Linked DNA regions of Rhinolophus ferrumequinum. The protein of the gene in region 2 purifies or fractionates together with the protein of the main gene of each other region. This does not show direct contact. Links are inferred from orthologs where the notes say so. Each region holds a gene or a part of one and is shown on either strand. Other genes may lie near its edges.

What was found.
Region 1: the proteins of SMURF1 (region 2) and STK38 purify together in Homo sapiens (affinity purification with western blotting; 3 studies listed by BioGRID, with this or other methods). This does not show direct contact. The link is inferred for Rhinolophus ferrumequinum from reciprocal best matches to the Homo sapiens genes SMURF1 and STK38.
Region 3: the proteins of SMURF1 (region 2) and SMAD6 purify together in Homo sapiens (affinity purification with western blotting; 4 studies listed by BioGRID). This does not show direct contact. The link is inferred for Rhinolophus ferrumequinum from reciprocal best matches to the Homo sapiens genes SMURF1 and SMAD6.

Annotation. Positions count from the first base shown.
Region 1 is NC_046286.1:6,427,703-6,438,321, reverse strand, and holds the start of STK38 (serine/threonine-protein kinase 38), read left to right. Parts: upstream 1-6,422; 5' UTR 6,423-6,706; intron 6,707-10,619. UniProt on the Homo sapiens protein: Serine/threonine-protein kinase that acts as a negative regulator of MAP3K1/2 signaling. Converts MAP3K2 from its phosphorylated form to its non-phosphorylated form and inhibits autophosphorylation of MAP3K2.
Region 2 is NC_046307.1:6,351,101-6,361,048, forward strand, and holds the start of SMURF1 (E3 ubiquitin-protein ligase SMURF1), read right to left. Parts: upstream 4,846-9,948; 5' UTR 4,779-4,845; coding exon 4,724-4,778; intron 1-4,723. UniProt on the Homo sapiens protein: E3 ubiquitin-protein ligase that acts as a negative regulator of BMP signaling pathway. Mediates ubiquitination and degradation of SMAD1 and SMAD5, 2 receptor-regulated SMADs specific for the BMP pathway.
Region 3 is NC_046289.1:44,341,016-44,351,401, reverse strand, and holds the start of SMAD6 (mothers against decapentaplegic homolog 6), read left to right. Parts: upstream 1-6,237; 5' UTR 6,238-7,387; coding exon 7,388-8,201; intron 8,202-10,386. UniProt on the Homo sapiens protein: Transforming growth factor-beta superfamily receptors signaling occurs through the Smad family of intracellular mediators. SMAD6 is an inhibitory Smad (i-Smad) that negatively regulates signaling downstream of type I transforming growth factor-beta.

The DNA.
Region 1 (10,619 bases), on a different chromosome or scaffold from region 2:
ACTTTGGAGATCCTATATAATAAACATTCCTGATGGAGAGTCACAATGCTTTTAAAGGTCCTGAGAAGTCCTGCAATAAAAAACTCACATAACTTTACTTAGCATTTCCCCAAATTATGAATATGGAACACTTTGGTGTGTCTTATTACCTCTATTAGGAACAAATAAGATTCGCATGCTTCCATTTTCAGGGAACATATGAGATCAGCTCTCAGCTGGCAGTTAGGACAGTCCTGGGGCCTCTGCAAATATGGGAAGATTTAGCACATTCCTAAGGGAGCCTGAGAGTCTTGTGATTCATACAGCTCTCCATCCCACCAGCAGAAGGAAAGCCAGCCTTTCGGCAGTGGGGGCCTCAGAAACTCCCTTGTCTTACAGGAAGGTTCCCATCCAAGCACAGAGACGTCAGTGGACGTCTCATCCTTTTCACTTCTGGCTTTCAGATTTAGCTTTGCTTTGGGGAATTTTTTGTCATTCTTTTTGTCATTCTGCTTTACAGAAAATACAGTTCTCTTTTTCTCCTTGCTCCATAAGGTTTGTATAGTTTCCTCCCTCTTAATATTTTCACTCCCAAACAGGTAGGTGGGAAAAGCTGATGCATGATTTGGGTGCTAGATCTGCCATACTTCACATCCTTCATTAGTTTCTGAGATTTTCTCCCTTCAATTCCCAAAGAAACACTGACTCATCATGACACACTGCCCCCCCTACACACAAACACAGAGTCATTTGGAAAAAATTAATTTAAAATCTGTATTTCTTAAGACGTCTCTATTACTTTGGCCCTATCATTAAGCATTCAAAGAAAATAAAAATCTCTAAGCAGGCAAAACCATATGATAAGAACCCTCATTGTACAATGTGTTGTCATATCTGTAAGTCTGAAACCAAGGAACAATATGAAAAGCTGTCTTTCCATTCAGTACTTTCTTTACTTTGAGGTTTTCAGGTTTGTAGCCTAAGCATTAGGATAAAAATGATCAGATAGCTGTTGCAGACCTGGCTAATTATTCTAATGCTTCCCTGAAAGACTGGTGCTGCAAATAAATTCTCCTTCTCCCGGCCAGGCATGGTTATTGGCAGTCACCCTAGAGCATGTACTCTCTGAGTTCTGCACTCTCCATCCTGCTCTCCTAGGAGTGTGGGAAAGAAATGGAGTTGAGAAGGCAGCTGTATGGGGGTGGAGAAGGTACCCACTGACTCCCGTTCACTTTGTCTACCCCAGCACAATTCCCTGACAGGTTGTCTTTATTCACCTGGAAAATATTTACTGAAAGCTATGATTGATATTTAAAGGGAGGGCTATGAAATTAAGTGGGAAGGGGACACTAAAGAAAAAAAACCATGGAGAAGAGAAATTTCTTAGAAGGATGAAGAGTGTGATGGTTAATTTTATATGTCAACTGGGCTAGGCTATGGTGCCCAGTTTGGTTAAACACTAGTCTAGATGTTGTGGTAAAGGTATATTTTAGATGTGATTAACATTTACAATCACTTGACTTTAAATTGACTTACAATCACTTGACTTTTATAATGTGGGTGGGCCTCATCTAATCAGTTGAAGGCCTTAAGAGCAAAGGCTGAGGTTTCCCAAGGAAGAAGGAATTCTGCCTCAAGACGGCAACACAGAAATTGCCTGAGTTTCCAGGCTGCCAGCCTGCTTTACAAATTTTGGACTTGCCAGCCTCCACAATCGTGTGAGCCAGTTCCTTAAAATAAATCAGTTTTTTTCTCTCTCTCACCCTCTGTCCATATCTGTATCTCCTATCGGTTCTGTTTCTTTGGAGAACCCTAACAAATACAGAGGGCTCCAGAAAAGATGACCCTGGAAAAAAACATGGAGACTGTGAGTTTGACCATAATCTGAGAAAAGTTTTCCAGTTTTGGCATAAAGCTTGCAGAGAAATCAGTGATAGATATTTTCAAACAAAACTATGCAAGGGAAGAAAAACCAAAGGAATTGTGAACTACAGGAAAAACAAAACAAATGGTACAAGAAGACAGTAATTTTTCTGCCCCACTTGGCTTAGTTGTAAACACTGAATACTGATTTAAGGAGAAAGGTGGTCATAGAAGTTATGTGGAAGTTGTGGTGTGAGTTAAATCCTCATCTTCATTGAGGAAATTAAAAAATATCTAAAACCGAACATTTAAGAAGTAGCAATGTCATTTAGAAACAAGAAGGTAAATGGCAGAAGAAAGAACTAAAAGCATTGAAAGCAGCTGCTTCAGCTGAGTGAATCCGGTGGGATGGGTGGGGCAAAGCAGTGCTGTTTATCATTGTTAAGTCTTGTAGATGGTTTGGTCTTTCTCAAATCCATACGTGTATTACTTTGATAACAAATCACAAAATTCAAAGTTATGTGGGTTCAATGTGGAAAATGTGGAAAGTACAGAAAAGTATAAAGAAGAAAATAAGAACCATTCATAATTCTTCCACTAAGAGAAAGCAATTTATGCACATTTTAGAGGAACAGGAATTAAATGAACTTATTGAGATTAAAGTGTCAGAGTTCGAGGATTTAAAAAAAGCATAACTTAGATATAAAGGGATAAATAATAAGAGTACAATACTGTGCATGTAATATGGTAGGTATAATCACTTATAACATGATCATATACAATAGGATCTCATATGCGTTTATGGGTATATCAGAACATAGTCTGGAGGCATAACCGACCAAAATGTTACTTGGTATTAAGACCAAGGTAGGCACTAGGAGGGGAAAGTGAGGTGCCTGGGATGCACAGTGTGAGGCACTCACTGTCAAGAGCAGGGGCTGCACTTGAGCTCCAGTGCCTCCTTCAATTTTGTGCCCTAGGTGCCTCACTTGCCTTACCAGAGTCTCGTGCTGGTAGGGACCCAGGGCTGCTGGATCGAGGGCACTTTCTCCTTCTTATTTTACACTTAGAAATATGTTCCAGTCCCTTGCTACTCCAAGTGTGGTACGTGGACCAGCAAGCAGAATTAGCATCACCTGGGAGCTTGTTTGATATGTATAATCTCAGCTCTATCCAGACCTTTTGGATCAGAATCTGTATTTTTAACTGAATTCCAGGGAAATTGTGTGCACGTTAAAGTCTGAGAAGCACTGGGGTAGCAGACACCAAACTCAGTTCCCAGCCTCTTATGGAAGGAATATTCAGAGACAACTGATGTCATTGCCCCAGTAGGTGGGACACATACTGCCTGTCCTTTAGAGGGTTGTGGTCTTTGCTGATAGACTGAGCTTCAGCTGGCGAAGCAGTCAAAGGTCAGCATGATGGAGGAGAAGCAAGCGATTCCCTTGGGACAAAGAACACTTTGGGGCAATGTTTAAAGAGAAGGGAAAGGCTAGTGGGTCTGAAACTGGGGAAAAGAGCAAGACAAAAAGGTGCTAATATTGAAATCAAGGAACTCAAGTCCCATGGGGGAAGAATAACTTAGTATACTATAAAAAAGTTTTGTTTTTTTTCCCCAAGAGATTTTAGAGAAATCTGCTATAACACTGAGAAGCTTGGATTAGGTGAATTATATTACAATTATATGATGGCAGAGAAAATATAGGGTGAGGTGAGCAAGACACTCACCTCCTTGACTTCCTCCACTCATAAAAGGGTTAACAAACTTATCTGGCCAAGTGTGACCATATAGGTTGGCAATACAGAAATATAAGGGAATTGACTCTGTTCAGTGTTCCCATTAACCAGAAGTCAATTAATAACGGTCCTGCTACATGTCAATTCTCCATTTAGATTAGCAAGTTAGATGAAAAGAGAACAGCAAAGTAATGTATACTACGATGTCAAACGTTATTGGCTGGACAACCCAATATTCATTCTCAACCCCTTTCTTTCTTGTCTGCCTTCATTACAGAGCATAAAAGCTGAGTACTTGCTTTCCCAGGAAGGGTGGCCATGTGATGCAATTCTGGTCATTGAGACCTCTGTGGAGGTCTTTAGCGACTACTATATGGAATATCCACCACTCTCTCCAGAAAGGATTCAGAGTGGGTTTCCAGGGCCTGAAGTAGGTAGGTTGAGGAGAGCTGGAAACTTGCCCTGGTACAAGATTTATGAAGGCGGCAAATAACTCAGTAATAAAGGTGATATTTTAATGCAATATTTAAAAAAATAAAAATAAAAAAAACACGATGATGAACAAAATATCAACACTTAAAATAAAGGCAGGATCTGACAACACCAGTACTAGAGTGAAGCCAAATGAGTTCAAGTCCTACAAGTGTATGGTCAGGTCTTAGGCTTCAACTCACAGTCTGGGGTGGGTGAAAGTGATTGGTGGCACTTAGGTTTTATGCCCACTCTCCAGGTGCGAGGGAGTCAAGGCGAGAACATACCTGGAATTTTCAGTTTTGTAGTGAGAAGTAGGAAACACATGAAAGGGATTCAGGTGGTCAAAAAGAATGACAAATGTCCACTATACTTATTGGAATCATGGTAAAATGACATTGTTTGGGTCCATGCAGAGAGCAGCATGTTCTGCCTGGGCTATTTTGAGAAAGACTTTAGTAGTTATTAATTAGAATGGGGGTACAGATAAATGAATATAGGAATATAGAAAGCAGAGAACGAAATCTCTTTCCTGAAACTGGGAAGGCTCCAAGGAGAAGATAAGGTTTGACTTGGGCTTTAGAGGAAGGAAAAGGGAAAGCAGAAAGAAAATTGCATTTGCAGTCAGAAAATGGGGTTCTCTGCTTTGCTACTTAAATTACTACCTGTGAGAATTCAGGCACATCACTTTGGTTCCTTCATCTGTAAAACCTCATCCTAAATTGAACAGAGAAAAACAAATACTGTATGATTTCACTTACATGTGGAATCTAAAAAACAAAACAAATGAACAAACCCGTAGATACAGAGCACAAACTGATGGTTGCTAGAGTGGAAGGGGGTGGGGATTGGGCAAAAAGGTGAAAGGGGTTAAGAAGTTCAACCTGCCAGTTATAAAATAAGTCATGGGACTGTAATGTACAGCATAGGGAATATAGTCAATAATATTGTAAAAACTAGGGGGATAGTTACTAGACTTACTGTAGTATCACTTTGAAGGTATATAAATGTCCAACCACAATGTTGTACACCTGAAACTAACATGTCAAGTATAATTTTAAAATAAATTATAAAAATTAAATGGGGAAAAAAATAACCTAAAAAACCCCACCTCATCCTAGTACGTAACCTGCTAGAGCTGAGAGGATCAACTGAGATAAAAATGAGTGAAGGCGGTTTGTAAGGTGCAAAGCACTATGCAAACATCTCGCACTGTTATGACGTCCTTAAGGTTGGCTAGGACTTCAACAAAAGGCATTGGGGGAGAAGGGCCTCTGGACAGACAGAATGAACGGTGAAGTAGTTTTTGTATGAGGCTCAGACAAAGTAAACTGGGCTTTGAAGTGTAGAAAGATGAAAGCAGTCAAGGAAGGCCTATGTTTTCAAGACCATTAAGGAAACAAAGCCTGGGACCCCCAAGCTTGAAGGATAAAACCAAGACCTATGGTCTTACAAACAGTTACACAAGAGAGAGAGGCACCTTAATATCACAAAACAGCCTAATGAACGACTTGCACACCTGCTTCTTCCGCTCTCTAGCTGGCCACTTTGAAGGCAGGCAGGGTCTATCTTTGTTTCCAGGAGCCCGACGCTTTCTGGTCAAGGGCACTGTGCTCCTTTCTCGAGGAATGAGTGACTGCCCAAAGGCTAGTAAACTTGGGACCTCTTTATCCCAAGGGATGGTACAGACTGAGGGGTTGGGAAGCGGTGAAAAGCAGGTTCATCTGTGCACACTAGAACGCTCACCCAGTGGCCCATGTCCAAACCTAGGAGACCTCGCCAGATCCCAATGTAAGGCATGTTAATCATTACTTAAAGGAAGAGTAGATGGGGCCAAGGGCTCCAGCCGACCTAGCGCTCCAAAGTTTGAAAATCAAGGGAGGGGCGGAGGACGACGACTACAAAAATTGTAAAATTTCACAGAACTACAGTTGAGAGCGGGCACGCGCTCATATACAGGCACAAATGAGTGTATGCTGAACTGGATAAATCCGAGTAAGGGCTGTAATCTAGTTAATTGCATCGGTCTAGTTAATTGCCCTGTGCCAATGTCAGTTTCCTGGTGTCGATAATGTAGTATAGTTATGTAAGATGTTGAGGGAAGTTGGGTCGGTGATGGGTATACGGGACCTCTTCGTACTAATTTGGCAACTTTTTGTGAGTATGTAATTATTTCAAAACAAAAAGCAAAAAGCACAAAACACAAAGGGAACTCCTGCAGCCCAGCCCACTCCGGGACCGCCCCACACCCCACATTTCTGCCCTCACCTCTCAGCTCTGGTAAAACCCGGAGGAGTGGAGGGAGGTGGGGCGCAGCCGCGCACGCGCAGTCCCGAAGTCCCCGCCGCGTCTCCGGGAAGTCACGCTTGCGCAGTCTCGGCCCCGGGCCGCCGCGCCAGTCCCTCTCCGCCGCGGGGAACACGGCTGCCTTGGCCCCTCCGCGCTGCCGTCTTTTCCGGCAGTTGGGACTCTTCCTGTTGTCCTCACCCGCAACCGCCCCTCGTCCCTACCTCAGAACCCCTCACCCGTCCCCTCCTCTCGTCTGGCCGGTCGGCTGCTGCCGCTGGGGCTTCGCCTGTCCGCACGTTGAGACCGCTGGCCCGGCCGGCGTCTGCGGCTGTCCGCCGCCCCCTGCCCTGCCTCCCTCGGGGGTCTGGTGAGTGTCCTGCTGCCTTCAGTCCATCCCGGGCTTTTCCCTTCATCTCCGCTGCCCCCGACTCTTTGGGGACTCTCTCCTTCCCGACTGCGCCCTCTTTCTAGCCCTGCCTCTCGGTCCCTCAGCCGCTCTCTTCAGCTTTCTGACAGCCCCCCTCCTCCCGGTCTCCTCGTCGGTGCTCTCCATAGTCTGTCAGCCCCAGGCCCCCCACCCCGTCCTTTCTCTTTCTTCGTGTGCAGTTGGGGTGGGGAGCCAGGCTCTCTCCTTTGCGTGTTGCCAGCTTTGTCTGCCCTCTGCCTCCAGTCAGTCCCCTTCTGGATCCCGCTCCTTTCCAATTTTCACCTCCTTTTCTTTTTTTCTGGGGTCTAAGAACCTGAGAGCTGTTGTGTGAGGCAGAGATGTCGAAAGCCCACCTTGGGGTGTGGTAACTTTGAGTCTGCTACCTTCCCCATGGGTAGTCTTAGGGTGCTGGGCTTCAGATAACTTAAAATCACAGGAAAATATAGTGAAGACCCCCAACCCCCCCTTTTTGTGAAGAAGAGAGTGGAAAAAGAAAGTCACTAAGGACTTAGAGGAAAGTCTGGGTCAGAAAGTGTGCAGAAGGCTGGTGGAGATATCAGATCTCCCAGTTGCACTTTGAATTGACTAAAAGACACAAAGAGAAACTTCTTTGTGAAGTGTGCAGAGGGAGGTTGGCGTGGCGGAGACCCGGTGCTTCCCGTCCCTTTCAGCTCACCTTGGTTCTGAGTTAGAATTAGCCAGGCAGTAGATGTGGTTGCCCTGAACATCAAACCACCGCAGTAACAGGCTCCCACCCCAAACATTAGCCATTACCTTCCTCAGAGGAGGAGAACGCTGCCCTGCAGCCCCGTATAGAAAACCATTCCATGTCCCAAGCGTGTCCCCATCACACATACATATTCTGAACTCCTAGTAATGGTCATACACAATGAGTGTTTTCCTTGTAAACCTTTTATAAGGTGCTCGCTAATCGCCTAGCCTTGTGCATGAGATGGGGAAGGATATAACAAGGAGTCTAAGACAAGGTGCTTGCTTTCCAGTGGCTTACAGTTTAATAGAAGAAATTAGATAGGTGACTCTGAAGGAAAAGTCTTAGCCCCACTGTTGCATTGTCCAAATGAAAGATAATTAGATTGTCAGTCACAAAGAAAGAAATAAAGAATTGGTGAGAGAGGGGGTATTTATAGAGATAACACAGTACCATTGTAAAATCAGCCAACCAGGCACAACTATGTAGATTAAATAAAACAATGGTTTTCATTTGATCTCCTTTTATGATTGCTGTACCCACCCGTGACTTATTAGGATCACATTCTTTCGTTAAATTTTTTAAACTTTTAAAAATTTCTCACCTACCTAGTATTCCCTAGTTCTGCAGAGATGGAGGATGAAACCAACAGGACCAGGGCTTCCGATGGCCTGTAGGTCAGGGCACGAAGGCTTGAATGATCAAAAACATGAGGGAAAGCCCTGTCTTATAAAAAAGTGCTTGGTTGGCCCAGTAAGGAAATTGCTATATGGCAGGAGTAATTGTATCTTTTGATGAAAGGTTATTAGAATTAGGCTAACTGTTTTATGAGTGAAGGAAGAGGTGGAGGAGGAAGTTTTGAAGAAAGGTTAAAAGGGAAGGCCAGCGCAACCTTTGCCTTACATTAGAGACTGTGTGTGAGGGCTGAAAACCATTGTGCTAGACAATTGGTTGGCCTACTGTATGAGCATCTTTGAGTGCACTGAATTGCCTGTTGTTGATCTTTTTAAAAGTTGAGTAAGTCATGCCAGTGACTCAAATGGGTCAAACTTCCTCCCCCCCAGTTTTATATAGCCATCAATGTAAATGTAATTTTGTTCTTTTAGCTTTATTGGCAACTGAAAAATCATTAACTTGCTCAACTTACGTTTATTAACCGCCTATTCTACAGAAGGTACTGTTTGTCTCAGGCTTAAACTCTCTCTAGTTGTTGTATTTTTAAGTGGAAGTGATTTAAGTTGTTAAAATATATAAAGGGTCTCCAGAAATTTTCAGACAAGGGAGGAGTACAAAGTGCTCACTTGCTTCAGAGTTGTTTTTAAATCTGGTTTTAAAATTTCTTCACTAACCTTCGAGTGCATGTGGTTTTCATTGTGGGTGGAGGGGTAAGGGCTGACAAATAAGGAACCACACCCAAGCTTTATAAACCAAACAGAGGGGTTTGTGGTTTTTTTTTTTTTTTTTAATTCTGATATCCTAAAAACACTTGCGTTTGTTTTGGTATTAGCAGAAACTTTCCATAAAAAATAGCATTTTATAGTAAGGTAGAGCTGAATTAAATGTCTTGAATTTGTGATTACTGATCATTTTGGCACATCATAAATCAAAATGTTTGACTCTGAAGTAGAGCCTTGATTTTGAATCTCTGCTCTGAAAGGATTATTCTTTGTGTTTTTCGCTGAGTACCACTTTATAAATTTGTTTAATGTTAAGTCGTTTTATTAGTAACAAATGTTTGCACATTGCTTAAAAGTCTTAGTTTAATTTATAAAACAAAAAAGGTGAGATATATTAAGGGGAGAACCTTCAGAAAACTTCATAAAATGCACTGTCTTTGAAAATGGATCTTGGCCTCTCCTGAGTTTTACTCAGCTTTATTTTGGGATGAAAAGACAGACTTAGAGGAAGGTTGCGTGGAAGGAAGGCATGACAGGATAAAATATTGAGCCTTGTTGCCAGTGCTGGAGCAAGTCAAGTGCTGGTGAGCCATCTGGCAAACTGTCACAATATAGGTTGGCAAAAATTTCTGGGGAAAGTGAGATTTAAATTTAGGAAAAAATGTTCTATAAGCTATTTAAAGCTTCTCGGTATCGGTTTTCTCATCTGTAAAACTAGACAGTTAAGGTCCCTTATTTTTAAGGTATCTTCCATCATTAAAATTATGATTCAGGTTTTTTTTTTTGTAATATTGTTTCCATCATAGGTCCTTATTTTGACTTGTAGATTCAAATAGACAGTGAACATTTATCAAATACCATAAGACATATCAGAGTATATATATACATATAGATGTACATTTGAGTCATAGAATTTTTTTAAACTGTAGAAATTGTAAATTTAAAAGTTATTGGTAACTTAATGGTAATAGTACACGCCCATTGAATAAAATATAGAAAAAGTGGAAAGCATAAACAAGAATAAAATGATCTATTGTATTTTTACTGCCTAGAGTTAAGACGCTAATAACATTTTTATGTATGTATTTCTAATAATTCTGTGCACGTGTAGTAAACACACAAATAAAATTTAGCTCATGGTATACGTTCTGTTTTGTAACCTGTTCTTTTCACTTGGGTTGGAAACATTTCCCCTGACATTAGACATTTGAACAAATTTTCATTGTCTGCATATAATTCATTATAAGACTTTTCCATAACGAGTTCTGTTGTGCATATTCAAGTTATTTCTAGTTTTCCTTTGTTTACAGTGCTGCATTGAAGCCTCTTGTGTATGAATCCTTATAGGTCCAGAGGAGATTTCTAGATGGCAAAGAATTATACTGTGTCTATATTATGTAGTCTTAATTTCCACATATGGTATTGTGATCATGTTTTCTTCCTTTTAAAACATACAACACTGTTTTAAAGATATATTCATGTCACTTTTAGGTACAGGTAGATTTGCTCCTGACTGCTGCATGGTATTTCTTTGTATGCATTCACAGCATTTTTATTTATTTTCTTACTGAATTGCCTCCAACTTCTCATAACACAAATGATGGCATGATGAACATCCTCTGTAATGCACATCCTTCTGCATGTCCCCTTAAGAGTCTGTGTGACAGTTACTCTAGGCCTTTTACCTAAGGATGGGATTTCGGAGTCATAGTACATTAATATATACTTATTTTCACCAAGTATTCTG
Region 2 (9,948 bases):
TTAAGTTGTTCAGTGACCTCAAAACACACATTTTTTTCATTCTCTATTTGTTGAAAAATATTTAACCTCTAAAATGGTTTTGAAATTTGATCCAAATAAGAATCCTAAAAGTTAGGGTTTCTCAACTAGAAAATACCAAATTATTTCATCCATTTCGGAAGGTCTTTTGAACGTCCCTTTCAGCACTCACTAAAATGCACAAGTCAGCTATTTTAACTTTTAACCAGTGCCCACAAATGTGTTACACAACAACCAGCCTAGTTAACTGGATCATTGAGCTGATGTTGAAATATTATGGGTGAGTCTTTTATTATTATTATTCATGAGGAAATACATTTTGAAGAAGTAACTCAGCCCCCAGAACCTCCCTGGGTTACCCGATGTTCCACACTAGATAGAACCTGACAAGATGACCAAACAGAAAAAATGAAAATTTGTAAGAGAAGGAAAACCTCGAAGTCCAGACACCACTCTGATGGTCGCAAAAATAGGAGTTTTGAACTTTGACAAATAAATAGACTTGAAGTTAAAAATTGTAATTTGATAAATTAGAACTACCGTAAAAATACAGACAGAAGTAAAGTATATATTTCATTTCTCAAATCTGTTAGGTGAGTCAAGAAAAGTAAAAAGAATGAAAATGGATTTTTAAAAAAGGGTTTTCTAAAGACAACACAAATGTGATCAAATCACAAATGAAATCAATAATAGAACCTGTATTTGGCAGTATATGACTCCTTTTAAAGTATAATTGTAGTTTAAGTTTTGTAGTAGTATTTGATTGAACCCATCCCACATCCTTAGATAATTCAGCTCAAAGAAGTGTCTCGACAGTACCTCATAAACTTGAGGCCAACCCTGAGGAAAACACACAAACTCATGCGTAGCACATGAAACTCCATCTTATCTGAGTTAGTTGGTAAAAGTTTCTCCTGCCTTACATAGGGAGGTTCTTTACTAGGAGAAACTGACAAAGGCAACACTCTTAATAGATTTATCTTTTTTAAGAGAAACATAACTATTTTGAATCAATTAGGTCACCTGTTACTGATCAATGAAACTTATTAACAGTTATTACTACGACTATTTCTCTCCAAGTTGCATCATCTGAATGTCAGAACACAAGTCAGCCTCACATCATATGTGCTACAACTTTAAAAACAGCCTCCATTCCCAAATGCTACCACGGAAGGTCTCTTCCCACCCCACCCCCCACTTGGAATTAGAATTCTTCTCTCTTCACAATACATAGTCATGCTCCAAAACATATAAAAACACAAGGAGGTCTGAGAGTATTTCAAGGCATAAAAGCACAAAAAAGTTTAGTCATTTGGTGTTTCAACTAACTGGTTAACATTAGAATAAAATTTAATTTGAAGAGCACTGTGGAACACTTAGAGCTCAAAATTCCATTCTTTTACCCAAAGTGGCCTAAATAACATATCTGGGATTCATTTGTGTACCTCATAAGAACAAAGTTTTTGCAAATCCTGCTTGAATTTAAAATGAAAATGTTTCCCAAGTGTTTGATTTGCCAGTGAACTCTAAAATGTCTGCAAGATAATGCTCTTTAATAAAGATCACTCGACTTTAAACATATTATGCCCCCAAACCTACCGAAAACTTTACGAACTATTATCCTGCTAAAAAACCACAGACGTTCATTAAAATTATATTCTTTTACATATAAAGACTCAAATATTCTTTTGTTTAGGCCAGGTTTCCAAAGCAGTTCAGCATATTTTTTTTAAAAAAAAAACAACGGGGTTCCACAGGAAGGAAAAAAAAAAGAAATCATAAATGTAATCAATACACAAAAGTAATGCTTGGCATCAAACATGACTCCTGTGTTTTAACACAAATTTCTGAATATCAGGATCGAGCCCTAATAGAAAGTACAAGCACCCAACAGTAATTTGGAATAAGCCAAATTGATAGATCCTGTGAGGAGAATTAAAGAATGCTATAAAAGGAGCTGAAATCTCATTTTACATGAGGAAACTGAGACTCAGAAAGGTTATATAAGTTGTTCCATATTATGCAGTTTATGGCAGATCGGACCAAAATTGATTCTCAATCCAACGTTCTACTTACCACCAAATACAACTCTAGACCCGAAAGTTCTAAATGCTCTAACTCTAATATCCTCATATTTTGCATTGAATTACGCTGTGTGCTATTCACTAGCTAGAATAGCTCTCATTTCTACACGTCATTTGTTCAAGTATCACACGTGGAAATAGACTCTGAAACCTGTAACAACAAAAGTATACGACTTTTGAAAGATGTCCATCCAACTTGCCAGAAGTGAAGAAGATATTTCAAACTCCCCCTGGCAACATAAAGATGAAGCCAAAACCTAGCCTGTCTTCAACAAAATATCGAGCTCCAACGTTTCCACGTAAATTAACAGACAACTGGCATCACGCGTGTCGGCAGTCATCCCTAAACTCTCAGTTCTATTGCAGGGATGACCATACTCACAGATCCTCTCTTATCACCAATAACATTAGGTGGGAGAAAGGGAAAGGTGTTTCGGAAAGAACACTCATCACCTGATCCTTCACTACCAAGTGACATTAAAACTCTTTAAAGAATTTCTACATCTATGACATATAAATTCCTGAATCCAAAAATAATCTGAGAGAACAAACCAAGTCTTCCCTTTCATGAGGAAAAGCCCTATCCAGACCTGACTATTAGGATTAATACATATACACCTGACACAAACATTGTAATTAAAATCTATTCCTTCTAATACATTAATCACATTTCCACCAAAACTCACAAAATCAGTTACTTTTGCTTTTAACAAGAAAATTGAAACAAATCCGATGTCAATTATAGGTTACTTTGTAAATGAAAGCCAAATTAAAGTTGTCAGTAATTAAAGTTTTACAAGCATTGCAAAGTTAAAAATGTGGCTTTTATGTAACCATAAAAATAACAATGTATATGCATCTATAAAATGAGAAGTGTTTCCTACCAGAATAAAGGGTTATGTTTCTCTAAAAGTAAAGATCCATGGGATAGGCCTGTTACTTTCCAAAACCAGGATCTGGTTTTGGGTCTGAATCATCTGATCCGCTTATATTATCTGATCTTAACCTGATCTGACATCTTTATATATACCTAAAACAAATTATAACCCTCCTCTTGAAACAAAAGATGGATCATGCAACAACTATGGACTTTCAAAGGAAATTTTAGTTAGAAAAGAATCACCCATTGCTGTTTTCACGGATTTTACTGATGATTTAGGGCTATGCATCTGCCATGAGGTGTCCAAAACGCTCACTGTCTCTTTGAGAGGGGATCTGATTTTGGAGTCCTCACCAGACTGCCACTGAACAGAAAAATCCTGGGGAAAACCCCTTACAGGGATTAGCCTGAACTTTTTATTTCCTTTTCAGAGCTGGAAATATTCGCGTTTGGAAAGTCCCCCAGTAGAACAGTATTTGCAACACGACAATCTGGCCTCAGCTATGAATTGAAACTGGGAGACGAGCAGCCGCCCCATAATGCTGAAGAGAGAGAGAGAGAAAGGGCAGATGAGGGTGCAGACGGGTCCAGGGCCTCTGGAGCCCGCTGGCGAGGGGCACCTCCACCAGACACCGCTGGCACCTACACACATCCAAACCACCACGTCGCAGGCCCACAGCAGAGCTTCGCGCTCACCCTTGAAGGTGGCACTACAGAGCCACCTAGAAGGCACCCACATTTCATTGAGACTAAATGAGAGTGAATCAAGGAGCCTGCGCTAGAGCAGCTACCTACCATAGCCTCCAGTGTGTGGGGGGTGTGGGGAATCAACGCCCAATCCAGGCTTAAGGATGGGGGGCGGGGGGCGATGGTAAAGTGCAATGCAGAAAAGGAAAGCATGCAAGAAGCACAGTCAAGAGTAGATAGTGGCCTGGCCAGGGTGAGAAAGGAAGTGGACTAGACTGAAACGGTCTGAACCAGAGGGGAAGCGAGCAGAGACCCGGGAGAAGCTACAAGATAGGATTGAGGAATTCGAGGCTGAAGGAAAGGGTGGAGGCCCCGAGACAGAAGCAAGGGGGCGGGGCTGGGAGATAGGCGAGGGCGGGGCTAGGGAGAAAATGAGGGGCGGAGTTCAGGAGGAAAGTGAGGGGGCGAAACTAGGGGAGAAGAAAGGGGCGGGGCCAGGAGGGGAGAAGCAAGGGGGCAACAGGGTAGAGGGGAAACCAAGAGAGAGGATGGGAAAGGAGTGACAAGTGGGAGCGGGCAGGAGGGAGAAGCGAGGGGGATGGTCTGGGGAGAGACCGGGAAGCCAGAGAGGATGGGAAGGTGGTGAGAAGAGAGGGGCGGGGCCAGGAGGGAAAAGCGAGGGGGCAGGTGAGGGGAGAGGAAAGAAAGCGAGGGGAGGAGTCAGGAGGGGAGAAGCAAGGGGACACGGGGGAGGAAAAGGTGGAGAACGAGGAGGATGGAGGGGAGCAGCGAGGGGGCAGGTGGGAGGGAGGAGGGAAGCGAGAGGACGGATGGGGGGGGCTATGAAAACCGAGGGGGCGGGGCCGGGGAGAAGCGAGGGGGCGGGGCCGGAGGGAGAATCGAGGGGCACTCGCCCAGGGGGGTGATGAGGTCCTGGGACAACGGCCGGCGTGGGGGAGGGCCACTTAAGCAGGGCGCTCCGCGGGAAATTCCGGGCCGTGCGGGGTGCCAGTGGGCGCTGCGGGGGGCAGTGTGGGCCTCCCACCCGCCGTACCTGTCAGACGGATCTTGATGCTGGAGCCGTTCCTGCGCGTCCCAGGGTTCGACATCTCCCGCCAACGATCGTGCAGCCGCGGATCCAGCGCCGCCGCCCCCCGGCCCGGCCCGGCCCAGCCCCGCCGCCGCCGCCTCCTCAAGGTTACGGCTCCGGGCTGGGCGCCGGGGTCCGAGCCGGGACACAAACTCCGCAGCCCAGGCGTCCGGGCGGCGGGCGGATGGTCGAGCCGGAGGATCGGCGCTCCACCCGGCGCCCCGACCCTCGCTTGCTCCCAGACCAGTCTAGTCCGGAGCCGCCGCCTCCACCACCTCAGAGCCGGACGCTCGCCGCCCTCGCCGCTTCCGCCGCCGCCGCCGCCTCCCGGAGCCGCGCGCGCTCCCGCCGTCGTGCCGGCCCGGCCCCGCGCGCGCGCCCGAGCCGTGCGCCCCCGCGCCTGCGTGCGTGCGCGTCCCCGCGGGAGAGGCGGGGCGCGCCGCGCGGCTGCATTGCCCGCCCAGCCTCGGGCGCGCGGGGTCTGGAACCTGTGGTCTCTGCTTCCTGCACCCCCCAGGCCGGAGGCCACTTCGCTGGGATCCCGAGGAGGCGGTCGGGGCCCGGAGTCGGAGCGCGCCCCGGAACCCTGCAGCCGAGGCCGGTGCAATGGGCTGCGGGGTTGCGGAGACGAGGCCGCTGGCAGTCAGCGCCAGGGTTGCCCCGAGGCGGGCGGGCGGGACGGCGCGGCCCGCATACGGTCGCCTTCGGTTTTCGACACAGTCTGGGAGGAAACCTACTTGCAGATGCGGACGCTGAGGTTCAGAGAACCGAATTGATTTTCCAGGTTTCTGACTCAAGGCTCCGCGCTCCTGATCGTTATTGAAGTGATGGTTACATGAACCCGTGGCCTGTTACTACACCAAGCACCTTCTACAAATAGGCAATATTTTCTCTCCCTCTGTTTTGTTTTATTTTATTTTAGTTCATTTTATTTTATTTTATTTTGGGCTTTTAGATAATGCAATTTCAAGGGAGTGACTTCTCAAAGAGACAAAGTCCTCTAAATGTGTTTGGTACAAGTGCTCTGTATTGACCTGTAACAAAGTTGCCAGAATCACAGGAAATGCCACATTTGGACAAAGTGTGCAAGATTCGAAAGAAGGATAAAGTGGAGAGGGAGATGTTTGTTATTATCCAGTCTGCATAGAATTTAACCAAACAAAACAGCAGCTGTACAGCCTGTGTTTCCCTGCCTTCTGCTCACATTTCCATTCCCAGAGTTGCCGGGTAGAACTAGAAAGTTCGTGATGCTTTCTCCAACAAACCAAGTCCTCTCTTAACCTGTTATAGAGGGGAAATAATTTGCTCTTCGGAAAAGCTGGGTTAGTTTACCAAACTCATTTTTTTTTTTTTAATTGGGGAAGGCGAACAGGACTTTATTGGGGAACAGTGTGTACTTCCAGGACTTTTTTCCAAGTCAAGTTGTCCTTTCAGTCTTAGTTGTGGAGGGTGCCATTCAGCTTCAAGTTGTTGTCCTTTCAGTCTTAGTTGTGGAGGGCACAGCTCAACTCCAGGTCCAGTTGCTGTTGCTAGTTGCAGGGGGCGCAGCCCACCATCCCTTGCGAGAGTTGAGGAATCAAACTAGCAACCTTGTGGTTAAGAGGACGCACTCCAACCAACTGAACCATCCGGGAATTCAGCGGCTGCTCAGCTCAAGGTGCCGTGTTCAACCTTAGTTGCAGGGGGCAGAGCCCACCATCCCTTGCTGGACGCGAGGAATTGAACTGGCAACCTTGTGGTTGAGAGCCCACTGGCCCATGTGGGACTCGAACCGGCAGCCTTCGGAGTTAGGAGCATGGAGCTCTAACCACCTGAGCCACTGGGCTGTTCCCCAAAACTCGTTTTTTGACCAACTACCTAACTCTTTGAATGCATTTATTTGGTTTGTGTCCTAAGGAAACCATGATCTGAGCCATGGCTGCCATCCCCTGCAGCCTTGGGCCTTTTCTGAAGTCACAGTCCAAAGTAGAGCCCTCTCCCTAGAGCCCCTTGACACGTCTGCCTCTGCCTGAGCTCTGAAAGCAGTCTCCTGGGTTGGACTCCAGGGTTCTTTGAGCTTCATCAAATAGAAGGACGGGCCTATGTCATTTCTCTGCCCCACTGCAGCTCAAACTGTCAATGATTCCAGTGGAATATCCAAGAATACAAGCTATGTTTAAGTAACAGGGCAGTAGATACAGAATCCAGCTCTGTTTCTCTGAGAGTGAGTCTCGGGGTCAGAAAAAATCCATTTAGTCTCTAACGATCCAAGTAATCCCCATTCCTCTTTCATCCAGTCAGTATTTCTCCGTCTTCATTTTCCCCATACTCAATTAGTCTCTTTTTTCTAAACCAGACTAAACATCTCTATGGCCATTCTTCTGATCCCCAGCTGTTTTCCTGACCAAAAAACCTTTCATTTATTAACCTGTTTTCTTACCTGCCTAGACGTCTGGACCTTCCTTTGCTTGATTGTTTCCTCAACACCCAAGTCTGGAGGTCACTTGTGGAAGTTACTAAAAGTTATTTAGTTTACTCATTAATAAGAAATTGTCACTTAACTAGATACACCTAACAGTGTCTTTCAACACAGCCTACACAAGCAGCACCTTCCTAAATGGAAGCTAATGTTTTATTCATTAGCAAACACGGGCCACCCATTATGTGGCTAGGGGCAAGGAACACAAATAAGTCACAGCTATAGCATTTCAGAGGCTCAGCTGACTGGGTGAAACACGAAAACAACTGACAACCACACAATGATGGAAATGCGAACAGAGAGCTAGAATGTAGATTACAGGACAAGTCTGCTTGGGATCAGAGAAATGGGGGAGATCTTAGAAGAATCATGGAAGTCCTGATGTAGGGCTTAAAGGCAGTGTTTCAGTTTCTTGGGCAAAGAAGTGGGGAAGGGCATTGTAGACAGATGGAAGAGCTTGTGCAAAGGCAAGAAAATGAATGGATTTCAGTGTAAGCACGGTCACGCAGCTGCTTTATCTTCCATCTTTACACCCCACTCCATTAAAAATTGGTAGATGATGAAAGATATTTGCCCACTTAACAATCATCAGGCACGATTTTGTGCTAAGGCTGTGGGCCAGCCCGTATATTGAACTTAAGGTGTACCTCGATATCCTCTCATCCTGCATCACGTTTATCGAAAACACTATCTTCTAAAGATAGCTGGAACAAATAGTTGGGAAATGTCAAACAATTCTGAGACAGAGATGAAGTTCAGTGAGTGTCTTCAAGTATCCTTTTTGTAATGACCTTACAAAAGAGCAGTTTTGACCCTGCTTTCTATGTAGAATTTGGCAGCTGATTTTATTTCCCCCAGATGTATCACTTCCCTGAGTCAGTGCTATTGGGCATTTGAAACATTTTCCAGTGAAAAAAAAAATCTCTCTTTGGATCTGACTGCAGTCATTCTTAACCTGTTTTTTGAGTCCCAAACCTCTCGGGAGAATCTGATGGAAACAATGGACCTTTTCCCCAGAAAAACTCGTATGTGCAAATGCACACCAAATTTTGTATCTGATTTCAGTGCGTACATGATTTCCTGAAACTTGTGGCTCTCATAAGGTCTCATAGCCCCTAGGTTAAGAAGTTCTAATCTAAAGGAAATGATCAAGCAAATTACACTGGGAATGTCCTGAGTGTATTTGTTTAGGAGCCAGCACAGTTGTAGCCCCTTTTGAAAGCAACGGGTATGCTGAAAGGAGGGCAGCTGTCACCCACACAGACCCATACTACCCTGGCTCCATCATATTGCCAGAGCAAGTTAATTAAATTCTCCAAGCCTTACTTTGTTCATCCGTAAAATGGAGATAATGCCTCTCAACTCAAGTTAAAATAAATCATGGATTTAATTTAAATCTTTCGTTTAACTGAAACCATGGATTTAAATTAAACCATGAATGTAGATATAGCAGTCTATTACATCAGGCACTCAGTAAATGGTAGCTGTTAGTACATGTAAAATGTGTGTCTTTGCTCAGAAACCTGCTGGTGCTGTGACCCTGGGGAAATCTGTTTGGGGTGTTGTGCAGAAGGTCCCTGGCGGGGGGGGGGGGGGGGGGGGATGGCTGACAAATGCCTCTTGAGAGCACATTGTTGTTCCTGAGCTGGTGCCTCTGGGACCAGTGGCTAGATCACGTTAGCCTTTAAGGTCTTTTCTAGATCTAGGTCTCGTCTTCTTTTGCTTTTCACCTGAACATCAAGTTTTTCAAACCATTGGATGTACAAAATTGTGATTAATTAGCACATTTATTTATTCTTTTATGCCCAGAAGACTTCAGGATCTTCCTCTAAATTACAACCTAAACTTAATATTACCACTATGCAAGTCTTACTATACTATGACCATTGGTATGGTTTATTACTTGAGTTTTTTAATTGAAATTTTTATTGAGATAATTGTAGATTCAGGTGCAAGTTGTAAAAAATAATACAGAGGGAGCCTCGGACACTTCGCCCGGTTCCCCCCATAGTAAAAATCTGCAAAGTCGTTGTATAGTATCACAACTAGGATACAGACATTGATACAATCCAACAAAATTCAGATTTTCCCAGTTTTACTTGTACTGGTATGTGTGTTAAGTTCTATAGTCTTAACACCTGTGTAGGTTGAAGTATCCACCACCACACTCAAAATACTGAACAGTTCCAACACGATGATCCATCATGTTTATAAACACACCTTTTGCCCCACTCCCAACACCTGGCAACCACTAATCTGTCCTCCATTTCTAAAATGTTGTCAGTTAAAAAATGTTACATGGGTGGAATCATACAAAATGTAATCTTTTGGGATAGGTTTTCTCACTCAGAGTAATTCCCTGGAGATTCATCCAAGTTGTTACATGTATCAAGTTCATCAAGTTGTTATATATATATCAAATAGTTCATCATCCAAGTTGTTACATGTATCAAGTTCATCATCCAAGTTGTTACTTGCATCAAGTTCAACATCCAAGTTGTTACATGTATCGAGAGTTTGTTCCTTTTTATTACTGAGTAGTATTCCATAGTATGGATGTATCACAGTTTGCTTAACCATTCACCCTTTGAAAGACACGTGGGCTAACTCATTTTTGGCCATTACAAACAAACTACTATGAACACTCGTGTACAGGTTTTATGTGAACATAAGTTTCCCATTTCTCTGGGATAAATGCCCAAGAGTGCAACTGCTGAGTCATATTGGAAAT
Region 3 (10,386 bases), on a different chromosome or scaffold from region 2:
TGTGGCCTCTCCTGTGACATCCACAAGGAGCAAAATGGCAACAGCAGCTCTGAAAGCTTTGCCTATGTTATCTCAATCAATACTCACGATGATCCTATAAGGTAGGTACTATTATTATTAAACCCATTTTACATATGAGGAAACCGAAACTCAGAAAGGATAGGTAAAGTAACGAAGGTCACTCTGTAAGGAGCAGAGCCAGGATTAGGACCCAGGCAGTCTGACCGCACAGCTTGCCCTGCCCTTTTACCTCCTGCGCTACACACATTGCCCAACTGGGGGCGGGCAAGAAGCCTTAAGCACTGGGATAAGGGGCAAGGAGCCCTGGGAGTCAGCAAACCTCGGCTCCATTCCCTAATGCCTCTAATTGGCCCTGTGATCTTGGGCAAGTCCGGCTCCTTTCCTGGTCCTAGTATCTCCTCAGGCTCCCCGTCCCTGTCCCATTCTGCTCTGCACTCGTGAAAGGCTGTTTAGATAGTGGAGGGTTAAATGCAGCCCAGACTTGTGACCAGTAGCCATTGGAGGGGAAGTTTCTCTTGGTTCCCTTACACAGCCCACCTTCCTTCTCCAGGTCACTTCCCACGATGAGCTGCTGAGTCCTACAGTGTGTCAGGACTTTACCTATTTAACTCAGTCAAGTAGGTCCATTTTATAGATGAGGAAACTGAATCTCCTAGGGAGTGAGTAGTTGGCAGGGTTGGTTCAGTGGCTCAACCTGATAATGATTGGCTCCATGTTCATTTCACTAATAGCTACCATTTACCGAGAACTTATTAGATGCCAGGCACTGTGCTAAGCATTTTAATCTTCAAAACAACCTCCCAGTATTATTATTACCAGTTAAGTCTCGGGCTCCCCATCTGTAATCTATAAACTGGGAATAATAATAGCACAGTATTGGGGGTTATTGCAGGAGGTGAAGAGAGTTGTCCAAGACCACAGAGGTAAAAGATGGCTGTGCAGGATTTGAATCCAGGTCTGTTGGGTTCAACAAAGTAATGGTTCTAAAGTAATGGTTAAGAACTATTACTTTGTACTGTCCAAGCACAGGCTGCATGGAGCAGCAATAGTAAAACCAGCAGTGGATTTAGAGAGGCTGTGGTAATGGGCCCCATAATTATAGACAGGACCAGGAAAATCATTCTCTCTGAGGGAAAGTAGTAAAAAGCCAATAAATAAACAAACAAAAATGCCTAAAAGTGGGTGAGGTTAGGAATTGGTTAAACCAGTGTTCTCAACATTGCATGTATCCTGGTAGTTCCCAGGATAATTTCAGGTCATTCACAGATAAACATATTTTATGTATTTGTTTTAAAGTGATAAATATAACTAGGACATTCGTGACTTCATGGATATTACAGCTTATGATAGGGCTAAATACAAGTGAATTGATTTTAAAAATGAATAAGCGTTGATAACATGTGTACACTGTTCAGACGTTCTCTCACTCTCTTAGATATGTAACAGCAAATCATGCTGGTTCTAGCTTCAAATATGTCCAGGAACTGGCCAATTCTCCCCAAACCAGTATGACCTCTCCTTGGATCACAGCACCAGGCCCCTTGCCACCCTGCCCCCTACAGTTTATTCTCCACAGGACCGCTAGAGGGAGCCAGCTAAAGCAAGGCAGATCATGCTCCACTCGGAACCTCCGATCTCCTGGCTCACTCAGAGGACAAGCCAAAGACCCAACAATGGCCGGTGTCAGCCTACAGGCTGCCTCCAGTATTTCTCCCATCTCCTTTCCTCTTCAATGGTACTGGAACACGCCAGGCACGGTCCCGCCTCAAGATCCTTGCTCTTGCTGTTCTCTGTGTCTGGAACATTCTTCTCCCAGATGGTGTCATAGCAGTTCCCCCACCACCATCAAGTCCTTGCTCAGATATCATGTTCTCTGGGGAGCCTTCTTCGGCTACTTTCTTTGAACCACCTATACCCTCTCTTGGCATTCCTCTCTCCTCTTCTCTGCTTTGTTTTTGATCTTGGCACCTTTACCTTCCAAAACACCGTATAGCTGATTGTTTATGGTCTGTCTGTCCTCCCACGAGACTCCTTGAGCTCAGGAATGTTTGTGTTTTACTTACTGTAGGATCCCTAGCACCTAGAACACGGCCTGGCAACCCATTAGGAGCTCAGTAAGCATGTGTCGAATGAATGAACACAAATTTCCATTCATGCACATGTGCATTTTTCAAGAGAGGTGTTCATAGCATTCATCAAAGCCTCAGAGGGGTTGTCTACCACCCAAGGGTATCCCAACTCCTCCATTTGGGGACATGTTGGCCAAGTAGATTTACCTTCCTAAAGGGCAGACAATACCACTTAGCCAGTTGGGCTAAGTTTTAAGTTATTCTCCTTAAAAATTAGTAAATAGGACCTTGGTTTATCCATCAGTTTCCTGTGAAGTGGGTTAGGATGAATTAGTCTCCATCTGACTTTAGGAGAGGTGGCCCAAACTCCCTCTGTGACCTTCTGTTCAGAAGCAGTGGCCCCTGGAGCCTACCCCTTCCACCACCAAGAAGCAAGCTCTGCCTTATGTGATTTGTTTCATGCCTTGTGTCTTCCTAGCTAATGTGGAAACTTCCCAAGGGCAAAGGACCATGTTTTCTTTTCTAGGACCAGGTGTTAAGAGGATGGACACTTACCTCAAGCAGCCCTGGGTTCAAGTCCCAACTCTGCCACCTATTGGCTGTGTGACCAGAGACAAATTATTGAATGTCTTGGTTGCTTTCCTTCTGTAAAAGAACTAGGCCGGATAAGAATAACTTCTTATGTTGTTCGGGGGATTTGATGAGATAGTGCATATAAGTGTTTGGTACCAGATGATGGTGAGCATGGAGCTTGGTGAAGTGAGGGATTACAGTTCAACCACATGACAAATATTTATTGAGCACCCACTGTGTGACGTGCATTGTGCTAGGGAGACTGGGGAGGAGAAATGGGGCAGGCGCTGTCCTGTGCAAATTAGCTTCTTTGAAGGCATGGACAGAATGGCATCAAATGGCCTGCTTCTGACTCCACTCCCTCCACGCTGCTGTGTGGCCTGTGCCTGATAGTTTCACTATCTCTACCCACGTTGGGCTTACATTCCAGAGGCAGAGGAGAACCACAAGGAATTGTACAGTTACAAACTGTGAGGAGTGCTGTCAAGGGGAAATGCAGGGTGCTTTGGGGGAAATTGGAATAATGGGGAGGGGTTAGATTTGAATCTGAGAGGTTAGACTTACTTCTTTGCTTCTACACCCCCAAGAAACTGGAGCTTGTTTTCCAGGGGCTGTAGCTCCACGGCCCTGCCCTGCTGGGCCCCACCGCACACACCCTCTTGTGGTCACAGTGCAGGTTGGTACTAGGCTGCATGGGCCCTGGGAATCCAAGGACAGTGGGAATGACTGTCACCACCCTTCCCTTCTTGATACTATCTCCCCTCAGAAGAAGTCTTCCCATAAGGAGGGATGACTCTGGGTCCTCATGTCCCAATTTTGGCAACCACCTCAAGCATGATTCCTACTCCCATTTCACAGATGAGAACCCCGAGGCTTACAGAGCTGAGAAAGGTTAAGTAGGGTCAGTGTGGAACTCAGGCCTAGCAGACTCTGGATTTACTGCTCTTCAGGTTCATCCAAATAGCCCCTAATGGCACCCCACCCCCAATACCACATCTCTCAATGAGCAAGAGCTGAAGCCAAACTTGGTCCAAATTACTGCTCAGGAAAGAAGGCAGTCCTCCTAGGATGCTTCAGTCTCTCCTAGGCCTGAGGCCCCAACAGAGGCCAGGCATCTCTCACAGCGCTCCCCAGGAACGCTGCAGAAAAGGATGCCATTGTACCTCAGAGAGGTTTGGGGGGGATGGAAGGGAAAGAGCCACGGTTCACACAGTTGCCCCCAGGAGTAGGTGCTGAGCATTAGTAGAAGCCCTGTGGGGTAATCTGTCTCCTGCCTGCTGGCCCATTAGGAAAGCAAAGGGAATGGGACAGGTAAGGGGCATGCATGTGTATTTAACATACATACCCCTTACCCCAGCCATTACTGGCTGGGTTCAAATTCCACCTCTGCCACTAAACAAGTTTGTGGAAGTTACTTAATGTCTCTGTGCCTCAGTGTCCTTATCTGTAAATTTGTGGTAACAACCATACCTCCTACCCCCAAAGTGCTGTTCTATGGAGTCCCGGGCCTCCCCTCAATATTCTTTGATACAGCAAGCCCAATGGGCCCCAGTTTGAAAATAGCTGCTCTGAAGGCTGTGCTTTAGCTACGCAGACCCACACTCCACTTTCTGGCCGCTGGGGGTGAGAGCCCATACTGGTTTATGCCCCTTGGGTTTTAACATTTCAGCACTTTCAATACCGTCATTTCAATGGCAAATTGAAAGGCAAGATCCTGTGCCTCAGTTTCCTCATCTGTAAAATGGAGGTAATACCTATCTGGGTTGTTGTGAGAACTAAATGACTAAATCTTTGTAATGCTTGGAACATTGCCTTGCCCATAGTAAGGACTCAGTACCATGAACTATTATTGTAATCCACAGCCAAACCAGCAAATACCCTGATAAAAGAAAATACAGTACATTGAATTTCTCCTTGTATTTTAAGATGCATTAATTTCCCTGGGGGCGAGAAGTGACTAAAAGAGGCCACAAGAGAGGAGGCTTCTGGGGTGCAGGTCACGTCGTCTTCTGGGTACTGGTTACACAGGTGTGTGTTCACTTGTGAAAATCCATCCTGCCGATCACTTGGGATTTGCCCTCTTAAAATGCACTCTCTCCCAGGATCTATATGGGTCTGTGAACAACGCAGGGCAGGCATCATCATTCCCATTTTCAAACACAAAACTGAGCCAAAGACAACTATTTTGATTTAGCCAAAGTAGTAGGGGATGAGGGTGGGGAAGCCTCTCAGCTCAATCTTCCATTCGGGAGAGCAACTGCCTCCCCCAGAGAGCGCAGCACCAGCACTACCTGGCTCCAGGTAAAGCTCAAATGGTTCCGAATCCTTCCTGCAAATACTGCCCTTCCCCCAGCGCACACAGACTCAGGGCCGGGGACTCGCACCGCCGCACACTCGGAAGGCCATGCCCACACGTGGGCACCCCGAGGAAGACCCGCTCGCCCGAGCCCCTGCGGCCCCGGTGGGGGAATGGCGCCCAGCCCCGGGCCAATCGGAGTAGCGGAATTTCTTTCATTCAGCAAGGGGCCGAACTCCGGCTCCTGCCCGGAAAGGGGCGGGGCGCCGTGCCGGGGGCGGGACCGCCGCGCGCAGGGGAGAGGGCGGTGCCCGCCCCGTGGCCCCGCCAATCGGCGCCGCGCCCGGGGGGGAAGGGGGGACCGGGCCTTTTTTCCCTCCGCGCGGGACCAATCCGGACTTTACAAGCTTGAACTTTTGCCACCCTCGGATGAGCGAGCGCGCCCGAGGAGGTACCCCGCCGCGCCGGCTCCAGGGCCTGGACCGGCCTTAACCCTTCCCGCGCCGGACGGCCTGCTGCTACCGCCGCGCCCCCCAGCTCGTCCCACACCCGGAGGGACCCCGTCCCCAAGCCTACCCCTATTTCCGTTGCGAAACGTGGCTGGGGAAAGCACGACCCCCTACCCACATTCCTTTCCGTGGTTCAGAGAATAAATTGGGGAAGGGGGAAGAGGAAGCAACAGCCTGAGGGGGCCCGGGACGGCTGGCGGCCCGCCTGGCTCCGAGGGAGGGCTGTGGCGACTAAGCAGCCGGAGAGGAGACACTCCCCGCCTCTACCCCACCCTCTGTAACTCCCTACCTGGGGCAAGCCTGGAGTCCCCGTGCGCGAAGCGTCCCACGCCCTGGGTTTGGCCCAGCAGAGCCACCCCTGACTTTGCGCAGGGGATGTGGAGACCTCGTGCCATCACGGAAGATCCCGCTACCCCAACAAACCAGCTGCCCCCTGCTCCCAAGAGACGCAAGCTAGGAAGGCTCACACGCGCACCCATTTTTATTAGCCTTCCTTGCGATGGGGGTTTGGACCGATCTAAAATGCAATGTGTGTTTCTAAGTTTGTGCCCCGGCCAGAGAGAGGCAAGACTCGGTTTGCGTCCGAGTCTCAGTGGGTCCGGTGGACCCTTGCACCGCGCGCCCCTGGTTCGTGTAACCGTGTGTTGTGTGTGTGCGCGCGCGCGTGTGCTCGCTCGCATCTGTGCCCGCGGCGCAACGCGAGCCGGAGAGCGGGTTGTGGGCGCTGTCAGGTCCCGGGAGGGGGTGCCGAGGCGAGCGCAGGGCGGGAGCCAGGGCTCGGCCCGCCCCGGGAGCCGGCCCCTCGGAGCCGCGGGCCTTGCAATGGGACGTGTTCTCCTTTAAGAGTTAAGAAACTTGAAACCTTGTTTGCGCAACAATCAGCGCCGCGGAGCCGCCAAAGTGTCTAGACTGGCATATGATGGGAGGCAGCCAATGACTCCGCGGCGCTCCTCCGGGGGCCCTCAGTGTGCGTTTGAGGAGAACAAAAAAGAGAGAGAGAGAGCCGAGCGGGGGAGCGAGCGAGGGAGCCGAGCAGAGAGAAAGAGCCGCCGGGCGCTGCCTCGCCAGACCTCGCCGGGACCGCGGGGCCACCGGGAGGCACTTTTTGTGAAGGGGGAGGGGGGCGACCTCTGCAGCCGCGGCGCCCTGGGCGTCCGAGCGCAGCGTGGGGAGGGCTGTGACCTCTACCTTGGTGGATTGCATTTTTAATTAAGGATTCCCAGCGGCTCTTTGGGATTTTTACAGTTTCCACTCATGTGTTGTCACCCGCGTTCGGGAGAAACTCGCTCCAAGTGCATCTAGCGCCTGAGACCTGAGACGGAGTTGGCCTTTCGTGCATGCAATTGCAGGGATTTTGGTTTTGTTTGGGGTTTCTTTTTTTCTTTTTTCTTTTTTATTTTCCAGGGAGTAAGGAAGCTGGGGATATCAACAAGCTTGTCTTTCGGATCCTGCAGGAAAAGTCCATGTAGTTAAGCGCTTGGGTTTTACAGGCAGGGCTTTCCAGACACATTTGGGGGGTTCGGCGCGAGCGCTTTGTGCTCATGGGCCAGCCGCGCAACTTTTGAAGGGTCGCCGGCCCATGCGGGGACTTGCTGGCGGCGCGTCGCCCGCGGTACCCCTCAAGCGCTGGGGCTGGAGTTGCTGAGTAGCCCGGCCGCCGGGGTCCATGTAGCCGCTGGCCGGGCGCGGACTGTGGCTCGGCGTGCGAGTGTTCCCCGCCGGCCCGCCCCGGCGAGCTCCCTCATGTTGCAGCCCTGCGGCGCCCCTTCGACGATAGGCTGTGCGCGGTCTGCACGGCGCCCGGCGGCGGAGCTTCATGTGGGGCTGCGGCCCGCGCAGCCGGCGCCTCGCTGAAGGAACTGACCCCCGGTAACCGGAGACCGCCTCCCCCCCCCACCCCCGGCGCCAAAGGATATCGTATGTTCAGGTCCAAACGCTCGGGGCTGGTGCGGCGACTTTGGCGAAGTCGTGTGGTCCCTGACCGGGAGGAAGGCAGCGGCAGCGGCGGCGGCGGCGACGAGGATGGGAGCTTGGGCAGCCGAGCTGAGCCGGCCCCGCGGGCACGAGAAGGCGGAGGCTGCGGCCGCTCCGAAGTCCGCCCGGTAGCCCCGCGGCGGCCCCGGGACACAGTGGGACAGCGAGGCGCCCAGGGCGCGGGGAGGCGCCGGCGTGCAGGGGGCCCCCCGAGGCCCATGTCGGAGCCAGGGGCCGGCGCTGGGGGCTCCCCGCTGGACGTGGCGGAGCCGGGAGGCCCGGGCTGGCTGCCGGAAAGTGACTGCGAGACTGTGACTTGCTGTCTCTTCTCGGAGCGGGACGCCGCAGGCGCACCCCAGGACGCCGGCGACCCCCTGGCGGAGGCGGCCCTAGAGCCGGCGGGCAGCGGGCGGAGTCGCGAAGCCCGCTCGCGGCTGCTTCTGCTGGAGCAGGAACTCAAGACGGTCACGTACTCGCTGCTGAAGCGGCTCAAGGAGCGCTCGCTGGACACGCTGTTGGAGGCGGTGGAGTCCCGCGGTGGCGTGCCGGGCGGCTGCGTGCTGGTGCCGCGCGCCGACCTCCGCCTGGGCGGCCAGCCCGCCCCGCCGCAGCTGCTGCTCGGCCGCCTGTTCCGCTGGCCAGACCTGCAGCACGCTGTGGAGCTGAAGCCCCTGTGCGGCTGCCACAGCTTCGCCGCCGCCGCCGACGGCCCTACCGTGTGCTGCAACCCCTACCACTTCAGCCGGCTCTGCGGGCCAGGTGAGCGCGCCGCGCCTGGCGGGGCGCGGGGGGCGGGGGGCTTGGGGGTCTACCTCCAGCCCCATTCCGTGGCCTTCTTTTTATCCCAGACACTTAACTAGGGCTGGTGGAACACTGCGGGTGCCCTGGAGGCTGGGAGCCTCACCCTGGTCCTGCCAGGGAGTGGGGATGTGGGCACATACGTCAAATGGCAACTTCATCAAGGCTCTGGCAAACTTAAAAAGCTACATGGTTGAGTTTTCTCTGTGCAGTTTCAGGGACGGAACGTAGGCTCCAACTTCATAAACAGTGAATGGGAAGGGCAGGCTTAGGAGAAGCCGAAGACTTGTGTGTCCCCCCCATTAACCCCCAGTCTGTGCCCAGGCCTGTAGCATTTGTGTGCATATGCCTGTATCTATGTGATACTTTACTATATCCAAGTAGATGTAAGTTGTGAAATTGGGTGGAAACAATCCATGGCTAGAGTCAAAGTGTTTGTAAATCGTTCCTCTTGTTTCTTTGTATATTTGGAGCAAAGCTTTTGCAGGGTAACCCCTCTCAAAGTGGAGACCACCCTCTTGCCCTGATTGCGCCCAGCATCCCTTGAGTGTCAAATGCCAGGGCCTTCCATCATCATCATTCTCAATTCTGTGTCCAGCTTTTGTATAGTTGAGGGTTCTGGGGGCATCTGTGAGTAGGTGAGGAAGCCAGGTATTTTATTACATCTGAGAACTACTCCCCTTCTTTGTTCTCTTCCTGGGACTTCCTGCACCCCACCCCCAGCCCTGCTTACCTGAGGATGCCCTGGGTTCTGAAGAAGAGGTGAGGACAGGTGGAGGTTCCTGGCAGGCCAGAAGCTTGCAGGAAACACATTTTAGCCTGTAGCATCTTCAGGGTGTAGCATCTTAGATGACACTGGGGATTCTACAGGGGTATGACAGAGAGTTATAGGCTGCTGGTGTGGGAGGGCTCGGAATTTCTCCAGTGTGGCCCCACTAGAGAGAATCAGCACCCGGCGTGGGGGTCCATAGAGGGTCAGATCACAGGTCTGACTCGCAACGTGGAAGTGGAGGGCGGGCCTAGGAGTGTGTGTGGGGTGGTGGCTGCAGTGCCAAGGAAGGTGTCTGTGGTGGGTCACGGTTGGGGGCTGGTGGGAGAGGCAGCTTTGATCCGCCTGCACTCTCCCCGCATAGTTACTCCAGGCTGGATTCAGGAGATTTTGGCAGTTCCTGATCAGTGATGAGCTTTCTGTGCCTCTTGCATCTCTTCCTGACAGTGGTTTCCTCCCTTCTGCCAGCCACCCTTTCTCCTTTCTGCCTCTGTGGAAGGAGGCCCGACGTGTGTCTGTAACAGGGTCTCACACACAGGAGCTTGTTGCTGTAACCTGGAGCAAGGCTTTGGAGGGTGGGTGCTGAGTAGCAGAGGCCACCTGGGAGTCAAGGTGCCAGGGGAACTCAGACATGTGAGTGGGAAGGGGTGGAGTGAAAAAGTTGAAGACCACAGACAGGACCCACTTTTGCCAAGGATGGGTGGGGTCCCTGCTCCTTGGATGAGACATCAGCTTGGGTGTTGGTTTGAGTTTCTTACACTTGGGCAGGTACAATTTGAGGAGCAAACAACAGTGTGATGGTGCTTAACCACAGACTTGGTTCTAGGCTCTGCCTGGCCAGTAACACAACTTGACCTTGGACAAGTAACCTCCCTTCTTAGTCTCCCTACTATCAGTGGCGGTGGCTCCAAGAACATTCTTCATGTCTAATTCTAGATAAAGCATTGGCCCTTGACTCCCTTCCTGCTCCCAGAAGGAGGTGCTATTGCAGGGGCTGTGTCTGTTCTCCCTCTTTGCTAGCCCAGGGGACCCCCTTTCAGGTGAGCCTGGGGGCTGTTGGGAGGACTGACACTCTGGGAAGTTTCCAGTAGGCTCCAGATTGACCCTCTTGCTTCATTCCCCTGCCTGAGGGTTTGGGCCGTGGGGACTGGGACTGAGAACTGGGGGAGCCCTTTGCTGCCCACCCCACCCCTGCTGCCTGGCTGCCAGCCTGGCTCCCGGAGCTGGGCGGGTACATAGCTGGAGCTCAGCCGTGCGAGTCTTGATAAGGAGACTGCTCCTTCCAGGGCTCTGGGGGAGAGGGCTGGCGCTCTGGGGTAGGCAGGCAGGCAGGCAGACAGACAGACAGACAGACACACACACACAGATAGAGTCCAC